Linked DNA regions of Rhinolophus ferrumequinum. The protein of the gene in region 1 binds, or shares a complex with, the protein of each later gene. Links are inferred from orthologs where the notes say so. Each region holds a gene or a part of one and is shown in the gene's direction. Other genes may lie near its edges.

Evidence for each region.
Region 2: RUVBL1 (region 1) and ING3 share a complex: the UniProt entries of both Homo sapiens proteins name them as parts of the SWR1-like complex. The link is inferred for Rhinolophus ferrumequinum from reciprocal best matches to the Homo sapiens genes RUVBL1 and ING3.
Region 3: RUVBL1 (region 1) and ANP32E share a complex: the UniProt entries of both Homo sapiens proteins name them as parts of the SWR1-like complex. The link is inferred for Rhinolophus ferrumequinum from reciprocal best matches to the Homo sapiens genes RUVBL1 and ANP32E.
Region 4: RUVBL1 (region 1) and ASDURF share a complex: the UniProt entries of both Homo sapiens proteins name them as parts of the PAQosome complex. The link is inferred for Rhinolophus ferrumequinum from reciprocal best matches to the Homo sapiens genes RUVBL1 and ASDURF.

The regions. Positions count from the first base shown.
Region 1 is NC_046302.1:1,213,515-1,221,099, forward strand, and holds the start of RUVBL1 (ruvB-like 1), read left to right. Parts: upstream 1-4,575; 5' UTR 4,576-4,671; coding exon 4,672-4,875; intron 4,876-7,585. UniProt on the Homo sapiens protein: Possesses single-stranded DNA-stimulated ATPase and ATP-dependent DNA helicase (3' to 5') activity; hexamerization is thought to be critical for ATP hydrolysis and adjacent subunits in the ring-like structure contribute to the ATPase activity.
Region 2 is NC_046309.1:22,924,842-22,931,984, reverse strand, and holds the start of ING3 (inhibitor of growth protein 3), read left to right. Parts: upstream 1-4,134; 5' UTR 4,135-4,272; coding exon 4,273-4,300; intron 4,301-4,542; coding exon 4,543-4,614; intron 4,615-7,143. UniProt on the Homo sapiens protein: Component of the NuA4 histone acetyltransferase (HAT) complex which is involved in transcriptional activation of select genes principally by acetylation of nucleosomal histones H4 and H2A.
Region 3 is NC_046305.1:50,609,262-50,616,399, reverse strand, and holds the start of ANP32E (acidic leucine-rich nuclear phosphoprotein 32 family member E), read left to right. Parts: upstream 1-4,126; 5' UTR 4,127-4,491; coding exon 4,492-4,545; intron 4,546-6,275; exon of another isoform or gene 6,276-6,419; intron 6,420-7,138. UniProt on the Homo sapiens protein: Histone chaperone that specifically mediates the genome-wide removal of histone H2A.Z/H2AZ1 from the nucleosome: removes H2A.Z/H2AZ1 from its normal sites of deposition, especially from enhancer and insulator regions.
Region 4 is NC_046291.1:39,096,441-39,103,766, reverse strand, and holds the start of ASDURF (ASNSD1 upstream open reading frame protein), read left to right. Parts: upstream 1-4,322; 5' UTR 4,323-4,464; coding exon 4,465-4,560; intron 4,561-6,303; coding exon 6,304-6,357; intron 6,358-7,326.

The DNA.
Region 1 (7,585 bases):
TAAATTTTTTAAATTTAAACATTCACCATATTTTGTGATCATGTATGTGAGGATTATGTTTGGGCTCTCTATTCTAGTCCATTGATCTATATGTTTATCTTTATGCCAGTACTACACTGTTTTGATCACTATACATTTGTAAGAAGTTTTGAAAGCAGGAAGTAGGAGACTTCCAATTTTATTTTTCTTTTACAAGATTGTTTGGCTATTTGGGGTGCCTTGAAATTTCTTACGAGTTTTAGGATGGGATAGTCTATTTCTGCAAAACCTATCATTGTGTGTTTTAAAATGGGGAAGATTATGTTTATATCCTGATTTTTGTGTGTTGATTTTGTATTCTGCAACTTGGCTGAATTTATTAGCCCTAATAGTTTGTGTGTGTGTGTGTGTGTGTGTGTGTGTGTGTGTGTTTTCTTTAGGGTTTTCTATATATAGGATTATGTCATCTGAGAATAGAGGTAGTTTAACTTCTTCCTTTCCAATTTGGGTGATCATTTTTTTTCTTGACTAATTGCTCTAGCTAGAACTTCCAATAGAATGTTGAATAGAAGAGGCTAAAGCCGGCATCCTTATCTTGTATTTGATCTTAGGGAAAACAATTTCAGTCTTTCATCATTGAATATGATCTGTGTTTTAAGATGGGAAAGATTGAGTATGTTTATATCCTGTGGGGAATGATCAGGGAGAATAGGTGGAACTATACGAATAAGGAGGGTAATAAGTGGAGAAAGGCCTCTGAGAGATGTAGTGGGGCCCAGATTGTTATCTGGAACCCAGTTAGTAGAGATACCTTGACTAGGAGGAAGGTCATGTGTGTCTTTGAGTCAGCACACAAGAAGAACCCAGCAATGCCCGGCAGATTGCAACTTAGGGTGGAGAGGAAGAGTTGCTTCCCAATCTATCTTCTCTCCTTTTTTTACCTGGGAATAGAATTTTTAGTGGGGACATGTATCTTTTCAGCTAATGACTATGTTTATCAGCCTCTCTTCAGCTATCTGTAACCATTTGATTAAGTATGACCATTGGAATAGGAGTAGAAATGATGATGCAACTTGAGGTCAAGGTTAAATGGAAGGAGCATAGCCTCCCTTCCCCCTTTTCTCCTTCTTGTTGGTTCAAACATAGGCTTTAGGGGGGAGCTTGAGCAGTTATCTAGGGCCATGCACTAGAAGGTGTGTGTGGGGAATGGCAGAATAAGAGAAAGAGGAGGACAGATTCTTAATGATTATAGAACTCACCAGGTGGAATGCTTGCTTGGACTTTATGTGAAAAAATGTAAATTTTATCTTGTTTAGTTCACTATTATTTTGTATCTCTCCATTACTGTAGCTGAATTAATATCCTAACTAATATGACATTTAATCAGTAGTTGGGCAACTCTGTGTGCTCAATTGAAGCTGGAGACCATGACAGTGTAATGGCTCCATGGGGACACTGAATAATTGCCTGCCGCCATACACAGCAGCCTTCATGAGGCAGTGGAGAAGGTAGAGGTAGTCTTGATCTGGGCATGTGGGTTCAAAGGTCAGGTGTGAAAGAAGTCAATGCAAGGAGGGAGCAGAAGGGTCGGAAACCAAGTGGCTGAGATGAGCAAACTTGGAATGTAAAAAAGATGGGTTGGAGGGATTGGAGTTGACACAGCAAGGGTCATGGGAGTGAAAAGAGTGAGAGAATTGGCAGTTCTGGTGTTTTCACACAGCACAATTCTGGAATGTAGCAGTCCACACAATTATTTGCATATGTATCATCACATTGATGCGGATTTTCAATACCCACAGATAGAAACCTAACTCAAATTATTTTAAGCCCCAATGTGAGTGCCATACAACATTGTAAGAAGGGCAAGCCTGGATCTGGGAATGTAAAGGAATTTATCAGGAATCTCTGTCAGCTTTCCTTTCCTATGTGTTGGCTTCATTCTCAGGCGGTCTTCCTATGAAGTGACAAAGATGACCTGGAAACCGATGACCCAAGTTTTCTTTCCTGATTTTTCCAGTAAAAGTGCCAGGACTGTCATTGGACTGTTCACTCACATTCCCAAACCAATCTCCATGTCCAGGCAGATGAGATACTTTGATAGGCCAGAGTTCTGTGTCCATCCCTAAAATAACGCTGGGTGTTAGGGGCAACCCATCCAAAGGATTTGGACTCAAAGTGGGGGAAGGGTGGTTCTCTAAAGAAAATTAGAGTGATGGTAGCCAGAAGAATTTGAATGGATTCTGGGTAGGTAAAATAACCCATGTCTACTACTATGGGTCTCAACTGCCCTTCATTCACCTTGTGTATCTCGGACACTGGCCCACCACATAGACTTCCGTCAAAATGAAAGGAACTGTCTGGCTCTGCAACCAGGTCTAGCTTCTTTGCACACCAAATCTGGGGTCAAGGACTGTCAGGCAATTGTTCCATTTGTGAAGTTGGACAGTTTCCATCCCCTTTGAGGGCCTCTGTTGCCTAACCTGTAAAATGAGAAGGCTAAGCCAGATCAGTGATTTTTGAACTATTCATTAGCAGTAAAAAAAAAAAAAAAAAATGGAACAGCTCTGGTGGAAGGGGAGGTAGGGGCATGGAACAGGTATCCTGCACTCTCAGACTTCCCCTTCCCCACTCATAGTGGCCATGAAAGAATACCACAACTCCAGGGAATGTGGTTTGAAAACCACTGGACCAAGGGCTCCTAGGAATTCCTCTAAACTCCAAAGTCCTTATCTCCTACCCCCATATTTGGCTGGTAGGAAATCTTTCCCTTTACTCTGTGCCAAATAATAAATGTAAAAATGGTCTTCTCTCCTAACTGGACAATACACAAAGAAGTTAGTTCCATACAGTACCTCATTTTGACTACTAGTTGGAAGAAAGTCTTCCCCTTTCACAGTGTGAAAGGAATTGCTCTTAACCAAGGGTCATAACCAGGAATAAATTAATGAGATGCTAAGCAACCTTCTGGGTGTCCTAGAGGTGATATCCCTAGGGTTGATGTATCGCAGGTCATCAGTAACAACCTCAGCTCTCCAAGGCCTTGCTTCTACTCTTTTGGGCTCTGAAAATGCCACAACATTCCATTTACTGATAGAAACCATTACCAAGTCCCAGAAAACCCAGTTTGTAAAATACATGCAGCAAACTGCATGATTTCAAGTGTGTATGTGGGGAGTCTAGAATCTTATTTGAATTCATAAGAAGGCTTACTTGTGAGCCAGGCTGTGTACCAGGCACTGGGGTTAAAATGATGAACAACACAAATGTGGTCTACACTCTCATAATGTTTGTAGTTTAGTGGGAGAGACAAACATTGACCTAATACTCTTGCAAACTAATTAGAAACCCAGATTCAAAAGTTATAATGGAGAAGTACAAAGGGATGTGAGTCAGGAACTACTGCAGCTGGATTTGACTTCAGGTCTGTCTCAACCCTAATGTAAGCTGTCCTATGTTCTGGGCAAGTCTTTCCCTTTCTCTGGACCCCAGTTTACTCATTTGTAAAAAGGTGACATGCCACCTGCTTCTGAAGAAGACTTATCCATTCATCAGGGTTTGGCCCAGGCATTATCACCTCATGACGCCTTCCCTGGCATTCGAGGCTGTTCTAGGTGGCCTTGCTCTGGGCTTGCACACCAGGTGGGGTGTACATGTTCCTGCACATCTAATGTTGCAAATTTCCTAACTAAGGACTAAGCTTATCAAGGCTGGAGATTTTGTATTTTATCTCTGTATTCCTAGTACATTGCAGTGTCTGGCTCAAAGCAGGTGCTAACAAATATTTGCTGAATGAATGGATGGATGGGAGAGTACACTGTGGTACAGGGAGTGTTAATATCATTATGGAGCCTGACAGGATATATTTGCTGGCTGATTGTCTCATCTGAGGTTGTGGGATGGGATGAAGATTATACAGGCTGTGAAGCCTTAAATCCTCAGCTGGAGTTCCAATTCTGTTAATTACTTGCTGTGCGTTCTTGTGCAAGGTTATTGGGCCTGTTTTAGCCTGTCTTTATCTATATTAGGAATTATACTACCTTACTGGGTCGTAGAGTTTTGGAAACATAAAATGTTATTTGCAGCCAACTTAATTTAAATAAAGGGAGAGGGTGGAAGCCAGGAGAAGCAGAGGCCAGTTCCATGGAGGATACCCAGCAGCACATGGGTGGGAGTGGTTGGCTGGGGTGGGCCTTCCCCGGGAGACGCAAAGGCGTGGGAGCCTGAAAACTCAGTAAGCAAAAGTCAAAGCTTTCGCTGTAAACCTGTTTCACCATCTCCAAAACGGAGGTAAGAGCTTGAACTTCTCTGAAGGATATGACGGTCCAATGCGAAATGCACAGGATGGCACGGTTAAGACTCACACCTCAGTGCAGAGTCCCAGCCCCAGACGAAACTTCGAGCTTATCCTCTCTGTGTTACCGCCCCCGGGCCAGAGCAGGAAGCTTGGGCTGCGGGGGATGCTAATCCGGCAACACAGCCGGAAGTGGGTGGGGAGAGCCCCCACGGCCGCCGCGATGGGCATAGTCATGAGCCAATGGAGAGCAGAGGCGTTTCCGCCTTCGCCAATGGATCGCCGACCAAGGCGGGCCCTGACAAACCGCTCTAGTAACTGCCGCATGGTAACCTGGGCCCCGGGTTTGGGCAACTGTCTCCTGGTTTTCCACTCAGGTCTTGATTCCGGACGTCTGCAGGATGAAGATTGAGGAGGTGAAGAGCACCACGAAGACGCAGCGCATCGCCTCCCACAGCCACGTGAAGGGGCTGGGGCTGGACGAGAGCGGCCTGGCCAAGCAAGCGGCATCGGGGCTCGTGGGCCAGGAGAACGCGCGAGAGGTGTGGCGGGCGGGCCAGGGGATCGGGGCGTTGAGCACGCCGCCGCCGCGAGGGGCCGCTGAGGTGGGGGCTCAGACCTGGGTGTGCGCTAGGGTGTACCGCTGACGTTTCTTCGGAGCAGTGAAAATTGGCTGTGGGGGCGGCGAGGGGGCGCCTCATGGACTGGGAGTGGAGCCGTTCCAGAAGAGCAGGTGACGGCCCCACGGGGGCGGTTGACTGCTTGCTTCATCTTTGGCAAGTCTTGAGGGAGTCCTCCACTCCGTGCCATGCTCTGTTTGCGACGCTGGGATCCAGCGGGGAACAAGATAGATGAGGTTCCTGCTCTCATGGAGCTTACATTTTAGTGTGGTGAGAGACGACAAACGTTTAAGCCAGTAATTATTATATTTTATTGGAGACCACTTCCTGCGGGGCTTTGCTGACCGTGGGAAGGAATTTGGATTTTTATGAACGCAGTGGGAGGCTGTGGGGGTTTTAAAGTACGGGAGTGATCAACCTGAAAAAGCTCACTTTGATTCCCAGGGCCTGGGACCTGAAGGAGGGAAGTGGGAGTTACAGAGAGGAGCAGCCTGCTTCACTCATGCTCAGCATCCTATTGACCATTCCAATTCAATCTACTTTTATTAAGTGGCAACTATGCTAAGTCCAAAAGTATTACATTATAATCACAAAACTATTCAAGCTTTTTTTTTTTCAGATTAAAAAATTGAGGGTGGGAGAGGTCACTTCACCTATACTCTTGCCACTCAGTTTAGTAATGATAACGGTAGGATTTGTACCCTCGTGTATTTGTACCCACGTGTACACAAATTAGTGCTCTCTCAGCTTGCTGTGCTCTCAGATCCATGCCTCTTGGCCTCCCCACTTAGCAGCTACAGAAACCTTAATTGAGACTGTTTCCTCCTCCCCTAATTGTACTAATACAGAGGACCAAAGAAAGGTCTCTGGCTTCCATTTTGAGCATCGTCTTTCCAAAAAGGAAATATTGGTATGGTCAAGGTGGCTTTCAAATTTCTCTTTATGTAGCTTCTGCTTACTGAGGACCTGTTACAGCAAATAGCTGACATTGGTTGAGTGCTTTCTATGGGCTAAGCACTGTACTAAGCAGCTTTATCTCCATTGTCTTGTTTTCACCACCCTAATAATTGTTTCTCCCTGACTTTAGGACACACACAAAAAGTTGTAAGACTTGTATATTGAATACCTGTGTGCCTAAATTCTACAGTTAACATTTTACTCTGTTGCTTTATCATATATATATATTCATTTATCCATCCACCAGTCCACTTTTGCATTTCAAAATAAGTTGCAGACTATAGTACATTTTACCCTTAAACCCTTTAGCATGTATGCCACTATCATGAACCATTTCAGATAAGGAAATTGTAGTTCACAGATGTTAAGTAGGTAGGTCCAAGGTCACTCCGCTGGTAGTGGTAGAGCCATGATTTAAACCCAAGTCCAGAATCCATGCTCTTAACTCTGATGCTGTATGCCTCTGTACAACTATGAGCTTCCTGAGCATAAATATATTATTAATATTATTAAATATCCAGAACTTGACTCTTTATAGGGGCTCGGTATTTATTTATTGAATTAATAGGCATTCCACTTCAGCTACCAGGTCCTTGTATGACTCTGGTCACATCAGCAGTCTTGTTGGTGTTTGATATCCTCATCTGAAAAATGAGAGAGTTTGACTAGGTGATCTTTTAAAGGCCCTTCCACTTTTTTAAATTTTAGTACTCACTGAACATACCTCACTAGAGAAAAGTTGGAGCCTAAACTGACGAAGGTTAAATGGAAGAGGTCCTAGTGTGTGAATAAGAGTACACATCCAAGGTTTGGAAAGTCTCTTCTATCTCTTTTGAATTTCCCAAAGACTTTCAATGCTGAGGATTATGATATGACAGGTTCTATGGAAAAAACCATAGTGGCTCTGTTATCTTTTTAGAAATGCAGCATCCGAAGACTAGCTTCTAGGCTCTGTTAAGGGCACTGTGCTTTTCCAGCTGAGCCAGAAATGGAATATAGCACATCTACACGCATTCCTTGAACCCACAGTTTCTTAGGGGCTGTCATAAGTGTGGGATCAAGGTACTTCTCTACAACACATGGGGAATAGTGGTAGAGGAGATAAGATAGATTCCCAAGACTCTGTTAATAGGGTAGTGTTGTCACTGCCCAGAGAGAAGAGCTGTGGCCTCCCTTAAGGCAAGGAATTTGATCTTGAGGATTTGGAAGGCGTTTAGTGAATCTTAAGGTGCCACAGGTTTAACCTCATACAGCATTTATTTTGTAGCATCTTGGGATGGTTAACTGATGGCAAACTAGTAGTATATGTCATTGATTCTTAGCCCTTAATAGGTTAATTTGGAAATCTGATGAAAGCTGTAAATCTTCTCCCTGGAAAAATGTACAGATGAACATATACGCACACTTTTATTTCCAATTTCATTTCCAATTTCAGAAAGTTTGTGGGCTCCTGGAGACTATCTCTGGTCCCCAGGCTAAAAGTCACTACTCTCATTTGTACTCCTACTGTCTGTTCCTCCACACAGCAGCCATCAAGATCTTTTAAAAACAAATCATCATAACATGATACATAGCCTAAGACCTTTTCAGTGGCTTCCCATTACATGTAGAATAAAATCCAAATATTACTGTGGACTCTCTAAAATTCTGTTCTGAGTTCTGGCCCCTGCTTGCCTTTTTAACCTCATCTTCCCATTCTTGTTTGTTATACTTTGGTCATTGTAGCCTTTCTGTCCCT
Region 2 (7,143 bases), on another chromosome or scaffold:
CAACAGTAAAGGCCTATAAACACTCTGGTTCTTTTAGCTCCAACGTGGAGTTTACTGTTTATTTCTGGCACCTGGGATATTTTTCTCTTGGTTTCAAGCTTTTTTCTTATATGTCTTCCAGAATTTCCATTTATTTTGAAGGAAAGATTTTGTGATGGCTTCATATCCAGTTATCCATCCTTTCTCAATATGCCACCCACTAAACCCTATATAACAACCGCCTCTGTAAAATCTCCTTAACTCTCCACCCCTTAGTCACTTGTCTTCTTTCCCTTTGTCCTCTTCTCCATATTCTTTGTCACAAACACCCAGGAGCCAGGTCTGCAAAGTACAGCCTTCCTTAGAGACGTCTCTTTAGTGGGTATGAGGAGTAGAAAAGCCTGGAACATTCATAGATATGTAAAGTGAAGGCTGTTATCCTGCTGCTTATAACTGATCCAGTGAGTGACTCAATGGACTTTTAAAATGTAAAATTAGAGCGGTTCATGTAAAGACCGCATTTTTTCTTTCTTCCCATGTTTTAGAGGTCTGTCAGAGAGGATACACTGCCTGGCACAAAGTTAAGAACATATTTCATTTCAAAGTTTTACGAGAATATTCAAAGTTTTGAATATTTTCAATAGGAAAGTGGCAGAACCTTAAGACGTAAAGCCAAGGTTTCCCCTGAGGAGATGCTATATGAAGGATTTCAATTTTCCTTTCTCTTGGACTCTTAGTAACACTCATATTTTGCATCCACGTTTTGCATCTGTTCCCTACATTCTGATTCCTCCTCCTTAGCCAGTAGCCCTCAGTGCAGTACTCTTACGGAGCCTCCCTGGATCATTTCTCCGTTGAATGGAGTATGACAGTGGCGATACAACTGTTGTACGTGAGATAATCTTCAGTGGGTCTAGGAGGAGTCCAGCCTCAGAATGACCAGGGGCACAAGGCAAAGCTCAGAGCAGCACGAAGGAGCATTTGAATATGGGTAACTGAGGAGGGGACTTCATGGCATTAATGAGGATGGTACTAGAAGCTGACATTTATTGTGTCGTGACACTCACCATACTTGAACCTAAGTGCTCTGCATAGATGATATCATTTCAATCTAACACACCTATGATTTAGCTACTATTGCTATTTCCAGCTTACAGATCAGGAAATGGAGGCCAAGAGTGTGAAAATAACTTTCTGGAGGTGATACAACTAATGTTAGAGAAGGTGACAGAGAAAGGGGAAAAAATCCAAGGAAGAAAACCTAGAGCTGCTCTGGTAGATCTCAGCACAGCAGCCTGTGGACCACACGATGTATTGTGCTGCAATGAATGCAGTTCTGCCACAGCGCCGTCAGTCTCCACGTCTCCACATTCCAGTTTCAGATCAAAAGAGAGTGCATCTAGTATGCCCAGCTTTGATCTGTCCCTGTTAAATTAATGCATTATGATCAGGGAGCACAGTAATGTAACAGATATGGTCACTCCTGTATATGAGGGGCCTGGCCCAGAAAGGCAGTAGTGGGTGTTAAGTAAGTAGACACTCCAAGTGCTATCTACTATCTGACCTAATGATGTAAGAAGCTATCACACGTGTGTACATACACAATTTTCTGCAGCTGATACAGGGTCCAAGAATAAGAATTACATTAACTAAAATATGTAGTGTTTAGTTTTGTTATTTGTTTAGTTTCTCTACAGTGTGTATGCATGTTCACTGAATTGGGAACCATCTATTATCTCATTTTCCTTAGTATGAAAAACTCCCTGAAGCAGCTCAGTTTACACTGAAAGGATGGACTTCCATTTCTTTTATTTCTGACAGAATTGCATGTTAGCTACTCTGATTGAGCCACCTGCTGAAAACAAAAAATGCTGGGTTAAAAAAAAATCAAATACATTGATGAACTGATAGGAAATGAAGGAATGCTCAGAGGGGGAAAATCAAAAAAGAAGGAATAAAAATGAGAAGAAAATCCTGAGAAATGAGGGAGGGTCAATGTGACTTTTGCCACGAGATTATCAGTCAAATTCTGGGCACCTTGAATTCCTGCTTTAATAGCTGTGCAGATGCCAGGGTCAGGAAATAAAGCCAAGGACCCATGAAAAAGGAGGAGTCTAATAAGAGACAAAACTCTGGGGCCCAAAGGATTACATTCCCAGTGTAAGAGTGATTGAGAAAGAAACCTGATGGTCAGTAAGGAAACACGCCCATCTTGACCTTGGAACTTGGGAAAGGAAGAAGTCTCCCGAGAATCTATAAAATCTGTTCAGATTTGAGACCCAAATTCAATCTATTTGTGCAATCCAATAAACCGGAAGTGGAGAACTTCATCTGGTTCTAGGGTTTATGGTGTCTCCAGGCAACTTGCTGAAGCAAATTTTAATACTCTTTAGGAAAACTCCCTTTTTACTCGGGCCTCAATGAATCCCCATAGTTACCAGCCCAGAAACATGCATGCAGAGTCCAAAATCACAACCTGCACCGAAACAGGCACCATAAGCAAAAGCTTGAAGAAACAGCAGGCAGCACAAAAGACCCATAAAATTCTCAGCATTGAATTTCACAGACACAGAATATAGATTATGCTTAATTTGTATAAGAAATTAGAAAATGACTCAGAAAGAGAACCAAAAAGAACTTCTAAAAATGAAGTGTTTGAAGACTTCCAGGTGGACCATATAGAAAAAAGTTTAAGAGAAACAGAGGCTCTCTATCTTAGAGGTATCCTATAGATACAACGGTTGAGAATTTTCTACAATTGTTGCAGGACACTAATACTGAGATTCAGGAATCTTCTCAAATACTCAGTATGGTTTTAAAAAAAAAAGGAAAGAAAAAGAGAGGGGGAGGGAGGGCTGGAGGAAAGGAGGGAGAGAAGGAGGAAGGAAGGAATCATATCTGTATTGATCATTGTGAAACTGCGACAATATCAGAGATCTTAAAAGCAGCCAGAAGGAAGGAGAGGGAGGGTGGGAGGAAAACTTAAGGCACTGATTTTAGATAAAAGTATAGAAACTAAATGATGTCATCGTTATTAGGGTTAAGTTTTCTCTGGGGTTCATTAATATGACAGGTAAGTATCCTGATTAAGAGCGGTGAAAAAGTCTTGAGAACAAGAAAATGTAAAGGCGGGGTGAAGCAGGTAACACAAATGCAGTGTTTCAACTCCAATGAAAAATATAAATAGAACATTAAATTATGAACTAAAGACAAGTATCCCCGAAACCCGAAGAGAGTTAAGTGGAAAATAACACCCAACCTGTACTGAGTGTCAACGTAGTTAAGACAGAGAAAAACTAAGCAGTGAAGGACTATGTCACGGGTGAACATTCGCGGGGAGGAGTCAAAAGGTAGAAAAAGACAACGCACAGGACTACAGACGTCTAACAAAGGCTATTTACTCAACATAATCTAAAGTTATTGCTAGCACAGCCCATTCACTATTAAGGCTCTATCCGTTATTTCTGCTTGCTCGGTATTTGTTGTTTTGCGGGTGCAGGTTGTACGTATAGATTCATTCCATTAGCGTGACGAGACGGACCGCAACATAGAATATGAGGCTATTGAGGACTATTTTTGCATATTTTAATATGGGAAATACATATTCACTCCATGCTTAAAATAAATTGTTACGTGGAAGCCAACCAGGCGTCCCACTTGTATTTTTAGGATTGGATAGTGAGGATAAATTCTAGCAGCGAGTTCTGTTTGAAACAGTACAAATTGCCCGAACTTTGCTGAATATTCTAGCGCTAGAACCTTTGCTATTTTGCTAGCACTACTTGAAATCCAGACTCAAATGCCGGGGCATGGAATCACAGCAGTAAAGAACAGGTGAAAAGTTGTTCCTAGTTGTGTTACGCAGGCGCATACAACTCCCGTCATGCCCCGTGCAAAAATCAACAAATAAACAGAGGCACCGCATTTCAGATTCCGTTACGCACCGTTCGCTGTGGCGTCTGGTTTTTGTAGTTTCCATGTGAAGAACTGACAGCGTGTTCACTTTTGCTAGGGAGGGAATAGAACTACAGTTCCCACAACAGCGCGGGGGCGGGCTACGGTAGGCTGACGTCATTGCTTCAGCCAACCAATGACAGCTCCGGGCGGCAGTGAGGCAAGCGCCGTCAGGCGCCAAAGTGGTTTTTTTCTCTTTTCTTTTTTTTTTTTTCCCTGCCGAAGCCGAGCGGGCGCTGCTAGCGGAGGCGCCATATTGGAAGGGACAAAACTCCGGCGACAGCGAGTGACACAAATAAACCCCTGGACCCCCTCGTTCCCCCAGCTCTAAAGGCCGCGATGTTGTACCTAGAGGACTATCTGGAAAGTGAGTGGGCGGCGCTGGCGGGGGCCGTCTGTGGGACCTGCGGGCGGGCGAGAGCGCGAGTGGACGGGCGGGATGGCGGGAGGGAGGGGGAGGCGGGGGATGTTTCTTTCTCACGGTAACTGGCAGCCTCGCTGTGGGCTGCCGGCTCCCTCGACCCCCCCCGACGCACGCACGCACGCAGTGACGTAGGCGCGTACTTTCGCCGTTGGCCTCGCCCCTCTGACGGATTCTCCCTTTGGCAGTGATTGAGCAGCTTCCAATGGACCTGCGGGACCGCTTCACTGAGATGCGCGAGATGGACCTGCAGGTGCAGAGTAAGTCGGCGCGTTTACCCTGGTTTGCTGCGCGCGTCAGTGTCAGACTGACTTGCCTTCGACTGCAGCCCCTCAGCTGTTGACTCTCCTGCAGCTCACTGGCTGGGAGTACATAGGAGTTGTCAAAAGGAACTTGCAGTTTGGAATCTTGCCGCCTCTTGCCTCCCAGGCTACTTTTCTCCTGGCTTTTACAAGGGGGAGACATGAGAGCACGTGTGTTCTTTTCTCGAATTTGGGAACGGGCCATACACGTTCCGATACCTTCATGGAGAATGTAGATACATGTTTTAATGCACAGCAGCATAAATGTTGAAATTCTGGCTTTGAACCTTTATGTAGAGAACATAGATTTTAGCATTTGCACTTTTACAGTTCATTCTGTTGAAACATTTTCAAGAGCAGAAAACATCGAAACACTGGTTACATGCCTTTTTTTAGACCCTGGAGTGTCAAATTTGAAGAGTTCGGATACATTGTAGGATACACTCTCTGTTGTCAACAGTATGATATTTTTGTCATTCAAAATGAGTGCAGGAAATAGGATTTTACTGTAAAGCTTCCTGTCTGCTGTAATAAAAATTCTGGCTTTTCTTCTGTCAGTGATAGCTTGACTTTTTCCCAGAACTCACTTGACTTTTTGTAGAGCAGTATTTGGTTTATATGATCATTTTCTTCTGTGAAGTTTCTGAAAAGGGTTTATGATTCAGAGAATGTATGGAATCAGAGCATTTGGAGACAAGAAGGTAAATACTTAGAGTAAACTTATACTTAAAACAAGGAAACACTGAGGAGTACCAGATTTGTGTTCATGTTTTGAAAAAAACCTCACTCGTAAACCTTCTGCCTTTGTGGTGTGAATATAATTTATTTCAACTACCTTGTACAGATATTTAAAATTAAGAATGTGAAATGAATTTTACATAATTAAAATATATAATCAAGGGTACTTTTTTGGCTGTGTGTCACTCCCTTGAAGAAATGTAGGTATCTTAATTAAATTATTTAAATAATAATAATGACTGGCCTTCGTGGGGTATATCCACAGGAGATATGTTTCTTGATCCCATTTATTCCAGCTATGTTTAAGCTATACATAAAATGTTTCTCATGCTGTCAGGTTTTCTTCTTAGAGAAGCAGGGGTGGAGGAATATCTGGGTTTTGGAGTGTGATAGGGAGGAAAGGAGTATCATGAAAAGAGATCAGAGAACCAAACATTCCAGAATGTGGGAGTCTTGACCTAGCTAAGAGCTTGTTGTTTTCTCCCCCTTGCTTCACTGCCTTCCCCACACACATCCATACCTTTGTATGTGAATATACTTTCCCAGATTCTTGTCAGTTTCATGTAGCACATAATACAATGTAATATAATATTGAGAGCCACCTTCTTTTATTCAGTGGATCGCAGTGTGGGAGTCTGAATTGGGTGTTTCTCCAGCTTGCTCTCCAAGTTCATTTTAACTTGAAGGTAGTTGAAATGCTAAAGATTTGCTAAAGTAGTAGTGTTATCTACAGGTTTGAGCACAGATTGTTAATGTCAGTCAGATCTGAGTGCATTTCAGGGCTCTACTGACTTACAGACCTTACATCACCACTTCTGAGGGGTTTTCATCATCTGTAAAATGAGAATCATCTGAGGATTAAAAATAATACAGATAAATTAGTACCTGGTACAAAATAGGCATTCAATAAAGGGTTACTTTTTTTATCCCTTTTCATTATTACAAATTTTAAATTTTCTTGCGTTTTGGACTTAGATTATGTAAATTAGAGGTTTTTTAAACTTGTATTTTTTTAATAGTAATTAGAATTTTCTAAATTTAATAGGTATTATGTATTAACAAAAGATCTCTGTGTCAAGTAAGTTAGGAATGCTTATTTAAACAAAGGAAAATACTTTTAAAATATTAACCATAAGACTTCTCAGAATCTTTAAAGACCTATTACTAACTGAAAATCTCCAAGAGAAGGATATAACAGAAAGCTTTTCCTCAATTTATGTAACAACAGAATTCATTTTATTTTTCCTTTTTTAGCATACATGGAATGAGATGACTATTCTTGGCACACATTTAAGGAAAATCTATATAGAATAAATAATATAGTGTATTAAGTAAATAAATGATTGTAGCTACTACTTTCAACATGATATGAGATTATGGAGGTGTTTAAGGCCATATAGCAAGAGGTTAAAAATCTTTTTATCACTTTTTCTTATTAAAAGAAATGTGCCAATTGTCTAGCGGTGCTTTCAGTAAGAAATTGTGTTTGGCACATTTGGCTGATTTAATACCATTAGTTTTTGACCCTGAGGTTGTACTATTCAGAATCTACTTTGACTATTGGAAAAAGTTTTGAAATAACAACAAAAATAAATGTTCTATAGGGAAAATTGTAACTATTTTTTTATGAAGGTAATTAAGGCATTGTATATTTGCATAATTAAAGCATGACATATTTAAGTTAGTGACCAAGTGAAAGAGTGTATGTTATCAGATAATTGTTTCTTTCGCCAAGTCAAAGCATGTATA
Region 3 (7,138 bases), on another chromosome or scaffold:
GAGATGGCACAGATATCTGGCTACTTTCTACCATTTTGTGAGTATTTCTGGACTTGTCTCAGGCTGATCAGTTTCTTTAGAGAGGAAGCCTCTAACCTTTTACCTGAAGGCACACCCCACTTTAAGATGCATGGAGGAGACAATGGGGTTGGTTTGGGAGAGTTCTCATTGGTTGAAATACAGATTTTCAACTTTTCTGCCAGTTTTCATTACATCTAGCCTGGTACATGTAGGAATGATTTCTGGTGGTTCCAAATCATTTTGAATTCTGGAGAAAGTGTGTTGGCATTAGTTGCACTGCCATAGATTTGTCTTGAGACTGCAAATTAACTAGTTTGGAAAAGGGAAAGGTTAAAAAGTTAGGAGAAAGAACAGTCTGGAGTTATCCTTCACTCTCACTCCATCACCTGTTCCCCAAAAAGGCATCAACCAACCTCTATATTTCCTAATGGAAGTGTGGAATTAAACTGCCAACTGAGCGTTATTTGGTACATAATCAATTACTAAACATGAGTACCCACTGTGTGCTCAGCACTGTGCCAAGTACTGAGAGAAAACCAAGCTACGGACTTGGTTTCTCTCTAGGAAATTTCAGTGAGTTTGGGCGAACCAGAATTAAATGACATGTAGAAGATGTGGCTAGGCAGCTCAGGGCAAACGCTGGGTGAATAGAACATTTAATAAGTCTTACGAATTTGGAGAAGGTTAAATGGTTTTGGTTAAGGTAGAAGAACAGCATAAGCAACGCTAGAAAGAGCAGAATGCCTATGACTTGTATGGAACAAAATGGCTCTGGTGAGACTTGATCAGAAAAATTGTTCTAGGGACTTGTTCCAGTTACTATTGCTGCATAACAAACAACTCCAAATTTAGAGGCTCAAAACAGTAATGATCATTTTATTACCTCTCATGGTTTCTGTGAACAGAAATTTGGAAAGAGCTCAGCTGGGTGGTTCTGGCTCAGGATTTCTTATGTGGTTGCAATTAGACAGTGGCTGGAGCTGGAAAAGTAGGGGGAGGAGAAGCTGGGGGCTGGGTGGGTACCTCTCATTCTCTTCACAGAGGCTTCTCCCTGTGATCTCTCCTATACGTTAGTTTGGGCTTCCTCAGGGGGTAGATCTTTGGAGAGGGCCATTGTCTCATGTTGGGTTCCTCAGGAAGTAGACTCTGAGATGAAAATAGCATTCAGAACATTTATTGGGGGGATGATATTGGATTCAATATCTGTGGAAGAGAGGAGAAGAAAGCTGGATGAAGCAGTGGGAGAAAGTGAATGGCAATGCAGGCCCCTGGGGGTGCTCTGGAGCGCTGATGAATGACCCCTCAGAGTTAGTCTAAGTTGGGGCAAAGGGCTGGCCGGGCCTGTATATCTCTGTGTTGAAGGAGGTCTAACCCTGGGCAAGGCACTTTTCTTCAGCTGAGGTAACCCCCTACAAGGGCCGACAGCGGAAGGTCATCCCGGCACTGAGGGGAATCAGTTCTTCATTCCTGAAGGAAAATCTGGGTCGTGCATTTCCGTGTCCACCACAGCCCTGACTAGATCGGTGGCTTTCAGTAGAGGCCCTCCTGTAACAACCTGCCACTGAGAAAGTTGGGGGGTGAATACTCCAACCTCACTCCCCTTCAACCCCCCCCCCCCACCCGTCTCCTGCCAGCCCTCTCCCCCGCCCCCAAACCCAGCAAGTCATAGGACTCGGTGGGGTTTTGAGTCACAGAGTGAAGAGTGGATCTGGCGGGCAACAGAAGATATTCTGCAGCAGAAGATGAGTTTAGTTTTTGAAACTTAAAGACACATCGAGTTAAAGAATATCCTGGTGAACGCTTCTTATTGGTGGATCAAAGGCATGTTCTGAACCACCCTCTTACTCATTCCACTCCTTGCTCCTTTGCTTTCATACCACCTCCTGATTACTGAACCTCACTCTTGGTTCTAACATTTAAACCCTGCCTCATTACTTCCTTTTAAAACACGTTCTAGTTCATGAGTTCGGATTTTCTCCTGACTGCATTTCATTCTTTCATCCCTCATTTAGTTCCATATGTCCATGTACTAGCCTGGTAACGTTCTTCATCCAACCTCTTCTCAGTCCTATGGGGAATCTCTCCTCCCCCAGCATCTTGTTTATCCTGTCTTCTTGATTAAGATTGGAAACAGGTAAGTTCCAAGGTCTTGAGGTAATGCAGATGAGAGATGATATAAAGGCGGGGACACTAGGTACGGGGAGAAAGGCCCACTTTGGTAGACCTTTGTCTGTGCTTACTATGGTGTACTTTCGGAAGCTGCTAGCCAACGGTAAAACGAATTCATGGCCTTTCCTCACATTTAGTATTTCCAGCACCCTCTCCATTCTGTCTAATGTATTCCGATACAGAAGCCCTACCATTTAACCCCAATAATCACCTCTTGTTGAAACTCTGTCTTCCATACATTTTTCTCCCCAAATTCACCTCCTTATTTATTACCTGTTTCTTTGACTATTTTGGTAGACAATCCCTGTCTTCTCTTTTTCCCCTCAACCATGTTTTACTCTCTTTTGCCTGATAGTCTTATATACATGCTTTGTGGGCGTCTTATTTTTTTTCTCATGGCCTCAACTATCACTCGTATCTGGATGACTCCTAAGTCTGTATGTACTCCTTCCCAGAACTCTCTTTGGGATGCCATTCCAGAGTTCCAGACTCTGCAGTGGCGGTGGGATCAGAACACAGGACTTCTTCTCAAGCTGGTACTAAAATGGGCTTTCAGGTTTCTTTTTAGCCCTTTTTTTCCTTCCCTTGTTTTTCAACTCTTCCTTGAAATGTTCCTTAATCCATTTTGCTTTAGTTTTTATATCATCCTCACTTCCTTTAGCTTGATTAAAACTAACAAACTTAACTAACTCCAAATCGCCCCCTAGAGATGTTATTTCATTCCAAAAGCTTTCCCTCTCCCTGTTTTCCTCTTCACAAAATTTCCTTTCCAGGGAATTCAAAGGAAACAGCAAGGAGAAGGCAATGATTATTTTGTTTTCCTTTAAAGTAGTTAACATGCTAAATACTAAATATTTATATTTTAAGCATAATCCTATTTGAGGAGCTGTGTGTCTCTGTAGGGGGGCAGGAGGCGTGGTGGTGGAGTGGTTAGGAGTCTGTTGGTAAAACCTAAGGTCTCCAACCTGAGAAACTGGAAAAATAGCAAATACTCAGCTCTGAGAGGGGTTAGACTAATTCACCCACTTCCTTCCCCACATTATATGGACTGTCTTTGGGTATTTATCCTGATAATGGTGTAAGAGAATAAAAAGGACAGAATTTAATCAAGAGCTAAGAAAAGTTAGGCTCTCAAGACAAAAATTTTAAAAATGATTCTTACCCTGCTCTTTTCTATCCCACATTGACAGACTTTTAAAAGCACATTTTATCTGTAGACTTTCATGGAAACCAACCAAAGGGAAATTGGAGAGGTACTGCAGTACTATTTATATGCGAATCGATGTCTCATTTTCATTAGACCGGTACTGTTTTTCCTCCAAGGTCTTATTGTTCATTACAGCAACAACTACCTCAGTAACAATTTGTTTAAAGGTGCCTAACTTATACTTCACACAACTGCTTTCAGTCCTTCGTGGGTGGAAGTTAAAATACCGTCTTTATTTCGGCTTTGGTTTTGGACCAGAAGCCTGTCCCCAGCAGGGCAGTGTCACGAAGGCATGCTTTTTATATGACGTGCACGTTGCTGTGCACCTTGGCGGCAAAGCAGGAGCTGTGCGTGCTGAGTTACCAGTATCGCAACTTGGGCACGTAAGAAGTATGCTTTCTGCCTGTAACACTAAAAACAGAAAAACAAAACCAAACCCAAAAACAAATCAAACAGGCATCAAAACCGCCCTCGTGCCTAGGGAAAGCGCGCCAACCACACAAAGAAAAGGAGGGGGGCTACTGGGATTCAAAATCATTTCTTCCGGACGAACACCCTCCTGGACCTATCGGAGTTAACTGCGCGCTTGGTCGTAGCCAATAGACACAGCGTTTCTGGTTCAGGTCCGCCCTCAAGACTGATAGACATTTGTGTAGTCCAATGGAATAGTGTGATGCTGAAGAAGTAACCAATACATTCGGGAGGTGGGTGGAGTGTAGGCCAGGGGGTTGGCGGTGCCGTGTCATGGAGGCTCAGTCTCGGAGCAGCCATTGAAGGGGAAGGAACTGCGGGTGTGTGTGTGTGAGTGTGTGTGAGAGTGAGTGTGTGTGTGTGTGTGTGAGTGCGCGCGCGCGTGTGAGTGCGCGCACGAGTGTGTGGACAAGGAGGTGGGGGCAGCCGAGTTAGAGTCCCAACTCCTTGGACTCCATTTGCTATTCTCTTTCTCCCCCACACCTATCTGGTGGTGGTGGGCGTTTATATTTGCGTTTCTTTTCATTCATTTCCAAACCTTTTACAATTTGAGGGTTGGGGGTAGCAGGAAAGGCAGGGCAGGGTAAGGGAGGAGAGTAATAGCAGAAGAGCAGGAGGAGGACATGGAGATGAAGAAGAGGATTAACCTGGAGTTAAGGAACAGAGCCCCGGAGGAGGTGAGATGACTCAGCCCCCTCCCCTTCCCCTCCAGCTCTGTATTCGGGGAATCGGGTTTCGGGGGGTCCGGGTGGGTGTGTAGGGAGGGGTAATTTATCAACCCCAACGTGGGGTTAGGGTCGGGGGGAAATATTTAATTTGAAGTTTTAAATCATTAAAATCTTTTACTTAAAATGGCGAAGGGTTCAAGTTTCTAGGGGCGTTTTTGTGTGTGCATGGGGGCTTAGTCCCTTTCACCTCTCTTGGAGTCGGGCGTCTTGGCCTCGTGGGGGCGGGAAGCAGGGTGCTGGGGGGCCCTCCGCTCCCCAAGTTCCTCCTCCTGGGGGCGGGAGGCGTGGGCGCGACCCCCCAGTCCCACTCGCCCCTGCCGCAGCCATCGTTGCCTGAGAAGTTAGTCCAACTTTTCTTCAGTGCTGCTAACAACTTTTTTTTTTGGGGGGGCCGCCCCCGGCCTCAAGGCCCCTGGGCGTCGGGCGCGGGCTGGGGTCGCTCAGGGAGCCGGCGACCACCCGCTGCCGGCGGCGCCCACTCCCCCGGGAAGGGCGCGCGCCGACCGCCGCCAGGCGGAATCTGGGTCAGCGGCCGGCTGTCCGGCCGCGGGTAAGTTTTGGGACCCGTCGCAGTAATCGGAGGTGGGGAGGGGACTCGAGGCGTCATCCCCTTCGTCCCCCCGCGAGGTAACGAAATTCGGCGGGTCGTATCATGTCGTGGTGGCCGCAACTCCGAATTTGATCCCTGGAAACGGTTTCACAGAACTCAACAAATGGGTCGTGGTAGTTGTGTGCTTTAAAGATGGGTTCGGCGAAACTAAATGATGCGCGCTCGCTGCTGTCGCTTTAGTTAAAGAGACGGGGTTGGGAGGGGCCACGTGAGGCGGGGTCGCGGTCGACTTTTCGGGGGTCGGGCGGGAGGCGTTTCCGCCTCCTTTCTGAGGGCGCCTCCTCTGCTTCACCCAGCCCTTCCCGTCCCGGGCGGAGGCGCCTGGGGAACGGCGGCTGGAGGGCGACCCCTATTTTCCTTGGGGAGTCCCCGCCCCGTGTGGGGTTTCCCGTCGGTCAGAGCGGCAGGTCGCCAGAGTGGGGCCGGTGACCAGCGAGGAACCTCACACTTCTAATCGCAGAGGCGAGCGCCTAGAGTCTTGCTAATTGCGGCCTCTGAGTTAAACCCCAGAATTGGCATATCAGGGATATAATTGTTTTCGACTTGGGTGGAGGCGGTGCCTGTGCATAGCAGCATAGAGGATGAGAAGTAGGGTCTGCCCAGTGAGCCGAGTGGGAACCCAAGATCTTTATGTGCTTAAAAAAAAGTTTCCCAGAAATTGGCAGGAGCAGGCAGGAGGAAACAGTCGCTATCATACCAGAGAAAGCTTGAAGTTTTCTAGGCCCTACCCTTTAGGGGCTTCAGAAAGAACAAAACTGAAAAGGCTGTCTCTCAGAAGCACACATTTAGAATGCTTTTTTATGTCTTCGTTTGGAAAAGTGGATTCCCCCTGCCCCATTCTTTTACCCACCCCATCGTGGTATCTTCCTTGCCAGTTTTGGGGAGTGCCACGCGTTGCTTTTTTGCAGCCTCTCCTTCCTCCCCTGTGGTGTAATAACGGTCTCTTGTATTTGCATAGCTCTTTACAGTTTACAAAGAGCACTTTCCGTGTTTGTTATTCACTTTCCTCCTTGAGACAAACATGTAAGGTGGATTGTATTGTTCTAGAATCCAAATTAATGGAGTCTCAGGGCCTGCAGTTATTTACTCAAGTGGAAGAACTGGTTTTCTGACACCAAATCTAGTGGCCCTCTCGCCTTCACTCAGCTAGACCAGGAGTCAGAAGACTTAAAAGAGTGGAGGCCCAGCTCTGCCACATACTGTGTGACACCAGGCAAGTCATTCTCATCCTCTGGGCCTCGGCTTCCTCATCTCCAAACAGATCATGATGCCATCTGTGCTCATTGAAGTCATTATGTCAGTCATTTTCAAACAGAGAAGGTGGCATTCCTTGTTGCTAATTTTTAGCCCTGAAAATACTTCAAACATAGTTTTGCATTGGGAATGGAGAGTCAGGGTCTCCTGCCCCTCTCTCCCTTGCTTAAGTCCATTTAGGCCCACACCAGAAAGTTTTGTTTTACAACTCTGACCTAATAGAGAGGATCCAGCCCCTCCCCACCAAGAATGGGGTGAAGTCCACAAAAATGCTACCAGGATGGCAGGGAGAAACAATAACATTTTGTCAAGGATGTATTGTTCTGGGTGAACTGTTTGGCCTGATACTAGAAGAGTTAACATCTGAAAGCTGGGCTGTCTCAGAAGGAGCTTCTAACATTTCTTCACGAAGGGTAACAAGAAAATTTTGAGTTATGGGGGCATTTATCAACCAAAGATAAGGGGGTTTAAACTAAAACAGTTTCCTTTCTTCTCCCTACTGTTTCAGGAAAGCTCCCTTGCATCCTTTTCCAGGAGCCCAGGTACTAAATAGGCCCTGATGTTGAGAATCCTTCTCATCAGGGGCACATGGGACCTTTTTCAAAGTTGTATTTTTTATGCATCAGTGATTTGAAGCAGGCATTAAGCTTCTTAGTCCAAGTTTAAATTTAAAAGGTT
Region 4 (7,326 bases), on another chromosome or scaffold:
TGTTAGTCCTACCCCACGAGAATGGGCAGAACTAGCCAATCATTGTAACAACCAAATGAGCCTCCACCTATTTTCGAAAGTATCAACTTGGAACAGCCCTAGCTAGCCCTATTGAAAATCAGTGGAAGTAAAAGAGAAGACATATCTTCAAAGATAACTGGGCCAAACATTTCAGAGCCTAGTTTTGTCCATTCCACTGGCTCCTAAACCTGTGTGTCAAAATCATCTGAAGGAACTCCTGATTCATCCATTTAACACATACTTAAATAGTGCTTACTATGTGCTTGTAGCTGTTATAATAAACACTACAAATATTAACTCATTTAATCCTCGTTACAACCCTTTGAGGTGGGCACTATTATTAGTCCCATTTTACAGATCAGGAAACTGAGGCTTGAGAAGTTAATGACTTACCAAACTCACACATCTAATAAATGGAGAAGCCAAAATTCAAACCCAGCCATTTTGGTTAAAGGTTAAATGGTTAGCACTATGTTATACAGCAGACAACCATATTCCATCCACAAACATTTGGTTTAATAAGTCTGGGAAAAGGACTGAGAAATCTATTTGTATTTGAACAAGACTTTCAGGTGATTTTACATAGTGAGAAGGGCACCCACCTACTAACTGGCATTTGGGGACCACAGCCCTATTCCATACCTCCTTTGGGAGAGATGGGAAAGAGACTTTTGTGGCTAGAGACAAATCTGTGGCTAGAGACAAATCCGTATTATGAGAAAGCAAGGGAAAACTGTGGTTGGGGTACTATTCATCTAAACCTTGGAAGCCAGGCTAATAATATACATCACTTTAACAAAATGGTGAATGGTAAACTATGCATTATTAAACAAAATGAAATACATTAAGAATGTAGCATCAGAGGAAGTGTATATATAGCATTAATAAACATGAAATTATCCTATTAAGTAGAATAAACAACAGCAATGGACTTAAATGAAAGAAGAAGTACAGCCGAGCTAGTTACATGGTGAGCTGCTGATGGGTAGTCCTAAACCAGTTAGACAAATGATACCAAGTGTGACTTCAAGCACTGCCGGAGTTACAACAGCTGAGGGGGGAAATAGAAGCAATTGGAGAAACACAAAAAAATAAGATAAAATGTGAAAGAACTTTGAAAACAGTTCAGCACCATACTAATAAGATTATCATATCACTACTGCATTTAGTATTATGTCATCTTGGGTGACCCATGTAAATCAGTGGAAATATCAGCACCAGGCAGAGCCATAACCAACAGCCCACCCCCAAAAGGGCATGAACAGCTATAGAACAATCAGTAGGGTTTCTGGCCACTCAGTATGGAAATCATGTGGGTCAAAGAGTCAATTCAAGCATTAACTAGAGTTCCCAGTCAGGCAGACACTGCCATAGGAGGAGGGGTAATATTCATCTAAACCTTGGAAGCCAGGCTAGTAATATACATCATACATTAGCCAGGATAATAATACAATACACACAATAACACACATTGGTCTACAAAGTAGACCAATATGCTGGTGTCTCTTCAGCTTCAAACGTCACCATCACTCTGAACACTAATTAAAATGTCACCCCAGGTGTCAGGGGAGACATGTTCCTAGGTTCCTACCAGCTTAACTGTGGTGAACCCTAAAGATTTGGGGGAATGGAGTTAAGAAAAGACGAAATTTCAGTTTTTAATTAATATAATATTTGGCAGTAAAGTTTAAAAAAAATTATCTTGTGAATAAGGCTTCCAAACTGAATGTACTGTGCCAAAATTTAAACATATTTCATAGTTTCTTTTCGGCGCTAGGTATTATAAGCCAATGCAAATCATCTTTCATCAAATCATCTTCAACCTACTATATAATTCCTCAAGTTTTGTCTTTCATTGTGCTTTTTCATATTCTGAAACAAAATAATTACTTTAGAACTCTCTTTTTCCTTACAAAACAAGACTCATCCCATTACCTTGCATTCTCTATTATTCTTGCCTTTAATGTGATCTTAACCACCCATATTAGTTACAACTTTTAACCAATTTAATAACTTCTGTTTCATAGAGAGAACTGGAGGTAGATAATTAGTAACTGTCATATGCAAGCACTTTAGCAAACAAAGTTCATTCATACACATAACTGTCTACAGCCACACACATTCCCTTTACACCTTCTGAAAATGTCAAAAATGAACATGTCCCTTACATTATCCAAAAGGATAGCCATTCTATGGCATATAAAAACAAGAAGCAAAAGTATGTAAACTTAAAATTATGCTTATATTAATCACTGTTTCAGTATTCACCTTTTAAAATAAATTATCTAGTTATCTAATGATTAATCATTAATTAACTCCATTTGATATTTTCTCAGGGTTTTAAGCTACCTAAAAATTTGGAATTGTGTTTAAATTTATACGGTACGAAATATAATTATTGTTGACATAAAAAGTTTGTCTGAATAATTACTCATTTTAGTGAATACCAATTTACATTTCTCATAAATTTAAATATTCTGTAGCAGTAATGCTAGCTTATTTAATCAGTAAACCAGTGTATGAATTAGGAAATTCAGATTAAATAATCTCTTCATGAGAAAACAAATCTAAATGTCATAAAAAATAAAACATCTACTTGTATTTTACTTAGCATTGATAAATGCATTTTCTCTCTTAAACCCAAATTATTAATCCAGTCTGATTTCTCCAAAAATTCACTTTAATTTCTCCAAACATATGCTTCAAATGTTTCTAAGCTAGCAGAAGGACTTTATTTTCTTAAAAGTCTAGCACATTTAAAGTATTAGAAATTCTGGGCTTTTTTTGAATTTTGGGATTTATACAAGTGCATAATTATGTCTATAGACTGCCCTTTAATTTAAGAGACATTATAATGGAATTTATTAATACCCTCCAAAAGTACAAAAACATTTTACATTCTCACAGCAAGATATACAAGCCATTCTAAATCATAGACACAGACACAGACACTTTATAGCTTCAGTGTTCCAACCTCTATCTCAGGTTGAAAGTAAACATAAAAATTCGCTAGCCCATATCTCAAAAAACTGGTCTTTCCAATGAGCACAAAATTCTTAATTAATTTGAGCTTGCAAAGGACAAACAAAAAGATTAAAAACTGGATTTTCTGCCATCTCTCTTCCAATAGAGACTGGATCTCCATCACCCAACAGATATCACTGAATGATTAGGCCATAAAGCCCAATTCCCAATCGCTGCTGCTACCAATGTGTAATAGCCACGCACAAATCAGAAAGAAAACCAAAATTTTTTTAAATCCTTAAAAATGAAAACAAACAGTAAACTTAGTTTTATAACCACTCTGAATTTATTCAAAGAGCCAATAAAAGATAATCCTGGGCTTAAACAACCTATGAGGTACATTTCCTTAGCAGAGTTTGGCTCCATCATGAGTCCACACGGGCAGCTTCAGGAAAACTTGAGATTTTCAATGTTAAAGTATAATTTTCAAAAATATAAAATCATATTTGTCATGCAAATATAAAATGAACATATGTCAAAATCTTATTCAACTCATTAACTGATGTTGGAACAGGTAAGACATTTAAACCAATTCAGAGGGTCTGTGAGAAGATAGGCCTATGTTAATAAAGACGCGTTAGTGTAGGATTGCAGGGTTAGACACAAAACTGGTTAATGCCTTACAGAACAATAAATCATAACCTGTGGGGTTATCCGGTCCACCAAATAGAAATTATTTGCATCTCTGCCAGACAAAAATCTACAGGTTAACCTCTGCCCCTACAGAACTGTAAAATTGCCCAGTCTATAGAAAGTCAAGCCCACAAAAGCACTGAAAGAACATCCAATAATTTCTTGCCTGTTCCCAAGTTTTGGATAATTTTTCCCATAGAAGTGAGATACTGCAAATACTGTGTGGGACGTACTTATACTAAAAAGTTATTCGTTTATCTGAAATTCATATTTAACTGGGCATCCTGCATTTCCCTTTTAACCCCAATAACACGTTAACAAAAGCTTTACCAAGTCTGTACAGTTTCGTTGCCAACAATGTATCTCACATCTGGGCCTCGGCTACATAAAAAATATTAACTAGAATTTCTACTGCGTTTCTATTCTTCATATTTACCACTAGGGGGCGCATACAACTCACAGTCTACTGGTTGCGAGAATGTGAAGAGGTCACAAAAGTCTTTCTATATCGGATCCACTAGGGGACTGTTCAGGAACCTCCCAGATTTCACAACCCGGCTCTGCTCACGCGCTTCCCTCAGCACCTGTGCGCACGCGCGGAACTGCGCTCATACCGGACCCGGACTGCGCAGGCGTTGCAGTGAACGCGCAGACGCTATTGGTAGGACTCATGGGACCGGGGAGAGGGAGGAGGTGGAGCCTTGGGATGGTGGACGTACTGAGTCGGGGGGCTCGGAGGCTGCTGAGGCGCTAGCCGGGCTGCGCATCCTGCATGTTTTGCGCTCGATGGAGATTCCCTTCCGGGAGGCGCGCCCAGAAAACGGAGCCGGGCTGGTCCCAGCCGACAACTCGGCCCCTCACAAAGAGGAGCTTAGCTTCAAGGTGAGTGTGGGACAAGGCGAGAAGGCCCACGGGCGCGGGACGGGGTGCCGCTGGGCCTCAGAATGCCCACCGCTGCAGCATGGCCCGGCCTCGGCTTTGCCCACCTCGGCTTCGCTCTTTTTATTCTTAGCTCTGGACAGTTACAGTTAAGGGGGATCCTGAAACTTGCCCCGAAATTAGACCCAGTTGGGGCAGTGGGGCGGAGATTTAGTTGGGATTAAATTTTTAGAAATACTGCCCAACCCAGATCCGCTGCCGATATTCTCCATCTCAGAAAGTGTCACCGCCATCCATTCAGTTGTCCACCATCCATTAAGACTGCCACTAAGTTGGGAATCATCCTTGACGTCCATCACGTCCTATTCGTTCTGCTTCTGAAGCTCATTTCACATAAGTCCCTTTGTCACCGTGTACACTCTTAACCATCCTAAACCAGCCACCTTCATCTACTTACCATCGGAAACCCAGCAAAGACTTTCAAACGCCCTTTATCATCCATCATTACCTTCTTCCAATCTATTCTCCACGTTAGCCAGAGCAACAATCGATCCTAAAACACACGTCTTATTGTCATTCCTCCACCCTCCAAAAAGGGGGAACGAAGCCAGTATAATATAAATCTTAACTGGCATTAAAAGACAAAACCTTTAAAAATATGTTGGAGATGGGGATGGTTATAGCCTTTGAGATACAGATGTCCTCGATTCTTTGCTTCAAACCCAAACTAACATTGACATCTTGGGCAAGTCTCTAATCCCTCTGTATCACAGTTTCCTTGTTTGAAGTAAAGAGAAAAATGACCTGCCGTTCCTAAAATGAATGGGAAAGCGATGTTCAAACCTAAGTTTCAAGGAGGTTGTGCATGGTCTTCCAATTTAACTCAGTCTAGTCAGTTACTGCACTGACTTAGCTGGAAAGACAGAGGGATATACACTCCTGGTGGGTGAATTTTCAAACCACACATAGTCCACTCACTGCCATAGCAAGCCACTTACACTGATATGACAGATCCCTGAGGAGTGAGGCAGAACAGATTATAAAACCTGATTTTAGAGATACTAGTGATACTATGTGATCAGTCATGTTCACAAAATAACCACCATTACTGAAAAAAGTTAGAAATTCAGTTTCCACTTAGTTGAGTCCTTTCCTACTTATAAAAAGTGAGGCCTCCTTCAGCAGTGTCAGCGCTGTGCCAGTCTTTGGCATACAAAGACTAATGAAGAAAGTTGGAAAGTGATAGGTCTTACTGCAGGTACAGCATTTAGTACACGTGCTTGGGCTGCACCATATAGTACACAAATCATGAAAAGTGTTGGTATTTGGTGGGGAGGGGGAAGTAGCCCACCCCTCATTCCATTTGCTATTTATTATTGAAATAAGCTAAAACATAAAAGAAATCATTGAAAAACTGGTGCCTAGTGTCTGTTTCAAGTAAAAGATAAAAACCTTGATTGTTAACCATGGCCCTTGAATGAATGCTGGTTACCAACACCAAACCCTCTGTTTGGATTCAGTGGGTTGTCTAACACTTGGCAAGTTTAATCGCTGTTTCGTCCCTCAGCCTTTCCACACCTGTACCCTCGCACAGACTGCTGTTGAAAAGAATCTGTGTTCACAGATTGCCAATTTGGACAATCAGTACATTATAGCCCCTTATCCCATCTCTACTTTTTTTTAATGGGCCCTCATTCAGCATACTTCAAGAACCTCTGATTTAAGAAGTTTTCTTTATTTCAATAGATTAAAGAACAAAAAATTGTTGTGGATGAACTTTCTAACCTGAAGAAACACAGGGTAAGTTATTAGAGTGATTCTGAATAGTATATGGGAGGGTTTGATTCTATCTTATTAACTGTATACCAAAGTTGTAAGAATTTTATATATGATTTGTAAGACTTCATCATTTTTTTAAACTTCAAAAGTGAAAAGTGTCCAAGATTATGTAAAATCACATATAGATATCTGTTGATAATCATATCTATAAACATACAGATAATCATAGTTGATATTATATTTTTCCCCATCATAAAACTCGTACTACCTTAGAATCAAGTGATACTAATGCTACTATGGTATCTTGGAGCTGTATTCACTAATGATATTTATTTTGTACTTGAATTTGATATTTTCTTTAGAAATAAATGAACTTTAAATATATTGAGGAGAGAGGGAACTATTCCTTTAAGTGAAAGTGGATAATTGTTGAAAAACAAAAAGGATAAATTACTTCTCCTATCCCTCAATCTTTTTTATACAAATCTTCCAAATATTTAATGTGGTTATTTAATGCATCCATAAACAAGCAAGCTCCTGCTTCATCTGTAGTTATACTGTCAAAAATTACATTTTAAAGTTCAGAAGAAATGATTTTGTGCTCTTTAAAGCATATTAAAGATTTGATAACTGACAGGTTAAACATTTCTGATGTTGTCACTTAGGTAATATTAGAGGTTAAAGCACAATTGATACAGACTTTCTAGAGAACAAATTGGCAGACTATATCAAAACCTTAAAGGCATACAACACGTTGACCCCACTGTTCCATTTATAGGAATTGATATTTAGGAAATAATCATGGGAGTGTACAGAGATTTAGTTATAAAGACATTCATCACAACATTGATTTTTAATAGTGAAAAGTTGGTAACACCTTAAATATCTAAAACTTGAGGATCGACTAAATAAACTGTAATATGTTATACAGTAATGTTGTAAAAGACCACTTATTAATAAGAAAAAAGTATTCTCACTGTATTGTTTATA